2 linked regions of the Sus scrofa genome follow. The protein of the gene in region 2 interacts with the protein of the main gene of each other region in a pairwise test. Links are inferred from orthologs where the notes say so. Each region holds a gene or a part of one and is shown on either strand. Other genes may lie near its edges.

Region 1 (3,944 bases), on a different chromosome or scaffold from region 2:
GTTTGTGATTTGCTGTGTGCAGTCGATGTGTGTAAGAGTCACATGGGTGTGTGTCACCGTGTGTGCTGGCGTGTCTCTCGTAGGTGTGTGTGTCCCTGTCATTTTTGACACGGATTATATTAATTAGGGGTTTGACGTTAGCTACTTAACTCCCCAGCTCCCAACTCCTTCCCTCTGGACAAGCCTTGAACAATCCCACCTCCTCCCCAGGTGCAGAGGGCTGGGTGAGGGCACGTGGTGCCAGCCGCCAGGTTTGAGCCCTCGGAGCAGGGGCGGCTGCCGCGGAACTGAGGCTGGGCCGGGCCAGGAGACCGCCAACCGCGGCGAGCCCGGAGCCAGAGAAGGGGAGGGAGGGGTGGGAGCTGGCCCGGCCGAGCCGGCTGGGCGGGAAGCAGGCTCCATCCTAATCCCCAGGCCCCGGTCCGACTCCCCAACTGCGGTTCAGCGTGGAATGGGCGGCCGGAGCCACGCCGCCTCCAGCAGACACTCCGCGCTCGGGGCGCACCGACAGAGACCGAGCCCGTGGGGCCCGACACAGAGCGCACCCGTCCGGGGCCCCCACGCTCGGCATCTGCCCCCGGGGGCGTCCCGGATCGCCGCCCCTCCAAGCCCAGACCCCAAATCTGTCCCTCCCCGAGACACGTCTCCTCTCGGCCCTCTCACCGCCTCTGGGGCTGAGCGCTCGGGGAGCGGGCACTCCGGCGTCCCCGGTTCCTGAGCAGCGTCCGGAGCCTCCTCCTCGGCTCCCGCCGCCACCGCCGCCGCCGACGCCGCCGCTTCTGCTGTCGCCGCCGCCTCTTCCGCCCGCGGAGCCCGAGCCCAGCGCCGCCTCACCCCACCCGGCTGGCCAGTGATGTCAGAGCCGGGGAGGGGCGGGGGGCGGGGAGCGGCGGGAGTGGGGGGAGGGGAGGCAGCAGGGGGCTGGGGTTCTGGAAGACTCCCGGGCTGGGGGCAGAAGTGGGGGAGGGCTGGAGGAGCGCCGCCGCCTCTCACCCTAAAGAGCGAAACCCAGTTCTCAGATGTAATTCTTCCCAGTGGAACACACCCTTCCCCTTACGACCTTTCAATGACCACAATGGCTGGGACCCTGGGAGGCGAAGAGTAAGTTAGAGTTTAAGGGCTGGGAAGGCCTTTGGCCTCAGGATCCTCTTAGCTGCCTGGCTTAGTATGTGGAAAAACCTTTTTCTTCCCCTTCTGGGTCAGGGGAGCCATAATGACCGCTCAGTTTTATCTACCTTGGAAGGTGGGGGCTGGAGGAAGCGTTGGGGGCAAGAAGCAACACAGGGACCTCCTCACTTGCCCTGGAGCCACAGACCTCTCTCCAGGGTGATGCCAGCCGGCCTCTTGTGGTCCTCTTACCTTTCCCAAATATACCACCCCTCTGCCTTCCCCCCACCATGATGTAATTTTATTTTTCTGGGGAGAAAAAGAGCAGCAGTGAGCTCAGCATGCAAATATAGACAACTTGCAATGCCACGCTTAGCTCTGTTTCCCAACTCTGCCCCTCTGCCCAGGCCCAGCATGGCAGCTCTCACTTCCCCTCCACCCCAGGGACTTTCCTCCCCCAGATTCTCAGCCAGACTGAAAGAGGGAAGGAAGAAGTGGTAAAGCATCTGTTTTCATTTCCAGCCTAAGGGGTCTCTCCTCAACTCTGGCAGAGTGTGGCGGGGGAAGAGGTCTGAGCCCCGTCAGTGTCTGTGCCACTTCCAGCTACAGCCTGGCAGAGACCCAGAGGAAGCCTCAGGTGAGTTCCTCCTTTTTTTTTTTTTTTTTTTTTTTTTTTTTTGCTTTTTAGGGCTGCACCTGCTGCATATGGAGGTTCCCAGGCTAGGGGTTTCATCGGAGCTATAGCTGCCAGCCTATTGCAGGGCCACAGCAACGCCAGATCCGAGCCTCGTCTGTGACCTACACCACAGCTCACAGCAATGCTGGATCCTTAACCCACTGAGCGAGGCCAGGGATTGAACCTGCAACCACATGGTTCCTAGTCGGATTCATTTCCACTTCACCATGACGGGAACTCTGAGTTCCTCCTTTCTTTCCTTTCACCATCCTCTCCCCCAAAGTGCCCTGTCACTGACCTTTGGATAGTGACACACCCTCACAATGTGCCTCTGCCTAGACCTCATTTGTTCTGTGTTGTAGGGGTGAAACCGATATTGCTGACCCATCTTTGAGACTCAGAGAAACTAAATGACTTACCTACAGTCAGTGAAGGGTCCAGGTCTTCCAGAGGCAGCCAGGTAGAAGGGACTTGGGCTTCACGCTGGCTCTACTCCTTTCTGGGGCAGGTTATGCCTCTGAGCCTCAGTGTCCTGGCTGGGGACACTGATACCTATCTCACAGGGTTCTTCTTAGATGTAGAAATTGTAAGTCTCTAGTGACTGGCGCAGATGGGTGTTTTTTAAAACATGGGCACTACCATTTAGTGGGACCTTCCACGGATCGGTGCAAAAATAAGTTCCATCATATTTTTGTATTGGTTCAGTGCCCATACTGTGTATTAAACATTTGTTAAATGGGTACAAGCTGGATGAAGACATGGGTTTTGTTTGTTTGTTTGTTTTGGTTTTTGTCTTTTTTGTCTTTATAGGGCCGCACTAGCGGCATATGGAGGTTCCCAGGCTAGGGGTCCAATCGGAGTTACAGCTGCTGGTCACCACCACAGCCACAGCAACGCAGGATCCTTAACCCACTGAGCAAGGCCAGGGATCAAACCCGTGTCCTCGTGGACACTAGTCAGGTTCGTTAACCACTGAGCCATGACGGGAACTCCTAGGGACTCGTTTTTTTGTGTGCCAGGCCCTGTGGACACAGAGAAAAGGCCTGGAGTCCTGCCTTCAAGGAGCTCCCAGTCTGGATGGGGGAGACAGTCGTGGAATTGAAGAGCTCGGCTGGAGTGGGCTGAGCACTAGAACAGAGGTGGTTAGTGCAGGGGGAGCCCAGAGGAAGGAGATGCCGGAGGGGCCACCTCTGAGAAGGCCTCCCCAAGGAAGTGTTCTTTGGGCTCAGTCTTGGCTTTCAAACAAGAGCTGAAGGGAGGGCGCTATCAAGCAGCACATAATCACTTAATTACCTATTGCTTTGTATTTCTCTTCAGTTGTTTCGGGTGCTTGTCTTGACTTCCCAGTGAGGCTAATCAGCTCCAGAGCAGGGACAGGCCCGGGCACTCTTTGTTCTCCCAGAGCCTAACAGCGGTGCTGGACAAACACCATGTGTTCAGAAAAGGCTTGTTGACTTGCAGCGGATAAATAATCCAGGCTTCTCTGGGATAACTGCCTGGAAGGAGGAGGCCCCCACCCCCCACCCCGTGATCACAGTCCCTTAACAAGGCACCCACACGTACATCCCCCATCCTCTGGCTGCCTCCCTCCTGCCGCAGGGTGAGACCCCATCAGCAGACACTTGCTCATGGTGCCCCAGATCCTTTATTAAGGTCTCTCGTTTGACCCAAATACATTAACAAGAGATTGCTGAGCTGCAGCCCCAAACACAGTACCCTCCCATCCTCCTGGCCAGGGAGAGGACAGTCAGAAAGATAGAGGATTTGAGAGAGTGGGGTAAGCATGTGCTCAGGTGGAGGGAGCGAGCGGAAGAGAGATGAGGGCCCTTAGATGCGGCAAGAGGGAATCGCAAGAAAGCGCATGTGGGGGGCGGTGGAAGAAACAAAAAATGGATACAGGGATATCGTGGGACAGGAAACACAAGTCAGAGAGCTGGGCCAGTGTGTAGGGAAAGGTAGCTCCTTGGATCTCAGCACCCAACATAGAGACTTCAAGGGCCCCAAGCCAGAGGATGACCTGGTGTCCCTGGAGGCGCTCAAGGAAGGACAGGGAGGGCAGGAGGGAGCATGAGGAGGGCAGGTGGGGCTGGGCGATGGCTGCCCAGCACCTAGTCGTCGTCGTCATCATCGTCATCGTCATCTTCGTCATCATCCTCTGTGT
Region 2 (3,500 bases):
CAAGTACTTACACAAAATAAATGCACTGGGTTGTAAGGTACTTCCATGTTACTTATTAATTATTGTTCATTGATTTTGGAATTTTTATCGTTATCTCAAATACAAACCATTTTTATTTATCACTGTAGGTACCAAGCATCAATCTTTACACCATTGAATTAACACATGGGGAATTTAAATGGCAAGTTAAGAGGAAGTTCAAGCACTTCCAAGAATTTCACAGAGAGTTGCTCAAGTACAAAGCCTTTATCCGAATCCCCATTCCTACCAGAAGGTAACTGTTTCAGGACTAATTATAAAGTTATCCTGGTATGCGAGTTGGGTGGAAAGAATATTTTGTTCATCTATTGGCTAACTAGTCCATTGTTGATGGATATTGTTTATTAGATAGGCTGTTCTAAAAATAAGCCATCTTGGAGTTCCTATGGTGGCACAGTGGTAACGAACCTGACTAGTATCCATGAGGACACGGGTTCGATCCCTGGCCTTGCTCAGTGGGTTAAAGATCCAGTGTTGCTGTGAGCTGTGGTGTGGGTTGCAGACACGGCTCAGAACTCACGGGGCTGTGGCTGTGGTATAGGCCAGCGGCTACAGCTCTGATTCGACCCCTAGCCTGGGAACTTCTATATGCTGCAAGTGCAGCCCTAAAAAGAAAAAAAAAAAAAGCCATCTCATCAAAGATGTTATGAGAGTCATAGTTTGAAGGATAAGCTAATAAATGTTTGCACTGTGTGTGTGTTTTAGACACACATTTAGAAGACAGAATGTCAAAGAAGAGCCTCGAGAGATGCCCAGTTTGCCCCGTTCATCTGAAAACATGATCCGAGAAGAGCAGTTCTTTGGTAGAAGGGTGAGTCCTTTCACTCTTCTGCTGCTTTGAACGTACCTTCACAGCACACTATAAACATGGCATCTGCTGAGGGGTGGGGTGTGTCTGGATGCACCTTATCTCTCTCGCTTATCCATCACCCAGGCAGGTTTAGCTTCTTCAGAACTAGTTAGGCAATCCTTCTTCCCCAAGCTGCGCTGACCCTGGGGAGGTTGCCTTTCCCCAGAAGAGGTAGAGTTCTATGTCAGGAGTGACTTTGGGAGGAAGCTGCCCTCCCTGCAGAACCCCCTGGAGTTCATTGTGAGTCAAGATTGAGTTCATCCTTGAGGGCCTTGAGATCTATCCTTTTAAAATAATCTACTTCCATACATTTGTTTCAGAATTTGTGGAGGCTTGTCCTAAATGTATGGTCTCATGTCCAGGCTATATTGGGGCAGTTAGGGTCTGAGTGGAGTAGGACAGAGTACAGACACATACGACAGGAAGATAGAGACCTCACGAGCAGGACACTCTGCTTCGGTCTTCAGGGGGTAGAAGGTTAATTTATTTTATTTTTTACCAGAAAATTAACAAGTAAATGTCGGTTCTGTTTTGTAATCTGAAACTTCCATGTTCTGAAAGGGGTGTATTCAGGGTTCCTCGTCCAGTAATAGCATTAACAAATAATTGAAATAGTTTACAGAAGTTAAAATGGAACAAAGATCACATCATTGTTACTGTTTATGTTTTTCTTTAAGTATGATGACATCTCTAATCTTAAATATTCACATTACAGAAACAACTGGAGGATTACTTAACAAAGTTACTAAAAATGCCTATGTATAGAAACTATCATGCAACAGTAAGTACTATTCAGTTATTTAAATTTTGATGTAATTTATAAAATTGTAAAGTGTTGCCTAAATTTTAGATCATTTTATTACCTACAAATACTTGTATCCACTTCTGCATTATTCCTCAGGTTAAACTAAATGAAATGAATACAAAATTGATTTGACAGCAAGAATCTGGTTTATGGGGATACTATTTTAAAAATACCAAATATAACTTATTATGTCTGTAACAATACATGTAAATGAATTTGAAATGCTACTACAGGCTAGATTATCTGGAATTGAATCTCCTTCTTTCCTCAGGCTTCCAGAATAATGCCAAAAAGCATTTGTATTGCTGAATAAAAAACATTGAGTAATAGGTGATGAAAACAGTAGATTGCAATGGAAAAAAATATAAAAAACAATGTATATATGTATATGACTGAGTCACTTTGCTGTACAGCAGAAATTGGCACAACACTGTAAATCAACTATACTTTAATTAAAAATTTAAAATAAAAACAGTTGAGCAGAGCTGAATACCCAGAGATTATCAGGGGCATACTTAAGATTGCCATCTGATTGGCCCATGATGGCTATAAAAGGGCTGTCTTTTCAAGTGAAATTGAGAAGCATGGGAAAAGCTCAGGAGAGAAAACGCTCTTGAGAGTTCAGAGAAAAGAGAGGAGAGGTGGTAGGGCTTAGAAGTATCTGTAGAGGCTAAGTTTGGGAGACAGATAGCTGGCAAGCAGGAGGCAGTGGGCTTTGCAGAAGAAATCAATGAGCTCTGCCCTCTTAGAGGCCCTCGAAATAGGGAAGGGGGTGTTTTTAAAGGGTCAGCCTTCAATTATCTAAAGTTTCAGATAACTGAGAGTGCACTGGGTTATTATATTTTGTGCCTGTGTTTGTTTGTATAAACTGCACTGCTGTGGAGGTTGAACATGGGTATATGGTATGTGTGCAGAACCTCAGAACAGGTGCAGTTAGGATTCAGCCTCTAGTTTAGGGAATGGCATTAGGTAAACACATGAACAGAAAGAGGGAAGCCCTCTGGTTATTTAGGAGAGGAAGCAAGAGTGCCTTGACTCCTGGGAGTTTCTGGGGGGTTTCACTTCCCTATTGCTGCCTGCCAATGTGTTATTTGGAGGCTGGGTGTGGACCAGCTATTCCCCTTTACACACAAATGACCCTGGGGCTCAGCCACAGTACACCTTCTGCAGCCACTTACACTGTGACTTAAACAAGCTTCTGTGGTTTCATAATCCTAGAGAAGAGTTTTCCCAGTAAGACCAGCAATTTGAGTCCAGAGAATCTCAAGAGAAGGCTAATGGAAGGATTTCTTCCTTTCTAGGACTCAGGAATGTGCGTCTTTGAAAGACCACAACAAATAAAGCTATTGCTTCTAGTATTATGAAATCAGACATGGCTGTTTTCTTCAATAGAGAATTATTTAAATCTGTAGTAGTACCAGTATGCAATAATTTTCCATTCGTTTGACTTTTCTGCCTGCCTATGACTTGACTTTAATATTTCCTTTGGCTCTTGAATAGTACTTGCTGAGTCTTTCTATGTACTTTACTATGTTTTGGGGTCTAATGTTGATTTTAAAACTTTTACAGTTTTTCAAAATGTTCACTTTAATTTCTTTTCCAATCAACCTTTTAAAAAGATTTTAAAAGATTTCCAAAATCTTTTAAAAGTTCAGCCATATTGTATTTAGACATTCCAAAGTGTCTTCTAGACATTTCTGCTGGAAGGGGAAGCCTGGTTACAACTGACTATGTTATTTCTCATTTTTAATGGCTACTTATTCTCCCCAACAGCAGAATTCTCCAGAATGCTTCAAGAAAAGGATA

What was found.
Region 1: the proteins of PLD1 (region 2) and PEA15 interact in a two-hybrid assay, tested with the Homo sapiens proteins (2 studies listed by BioGRID). The link is inferred for Sus scrofa from reciprocal best matches to the Homo sapiens genes PLD1 and PEA15.

Annotation. Positions count from the first base shown.
Region 1 is NC_010446.5:90,273,343-90,277,286, forward strand, and holds the start of PEA15 (astrocytic phosphoprotein PEA-15), read right to left. Parts: upstream 2,801-3,944; 5' UTR 2,203-2,800; intron 995-2,202; 5' UTR 664-994; intron 1-663. Other genes in the region: CASQ1 (calsequestrin-1 precursor), read right to left, coding at 3,892-3,944. UniProt on the Homo sapiens protein: Blocks Ras-mediated inhibition of integrin activation and modulates the ERK MAP kinase cascade. Inhibits RPS6KA3 activities by retaining it in the cytoplasm. Inhibits both TNFRSF6- and TNFRSF1A-mediated CASP8 activity and apoptosis.
Region 2 is NC_010455.5:110,285,820-110,289,319, reverse strand, and holds part of PLD1 (phospholipase D1), read left to right. Parts: intron 1-128; coding exon 129-274; intron 275-744; coding exon 745-850; intron 851-1,604; coding exon 1,605-1,670; intron 1,671-3,500. UniProt on the Homo sapiens protein: Function as phospholipase selective for phosphatidylcholine. Implicated as a critical step in numerous cellular pathways, including signal transduction, membrane trafficking, and the regulation of mitosis.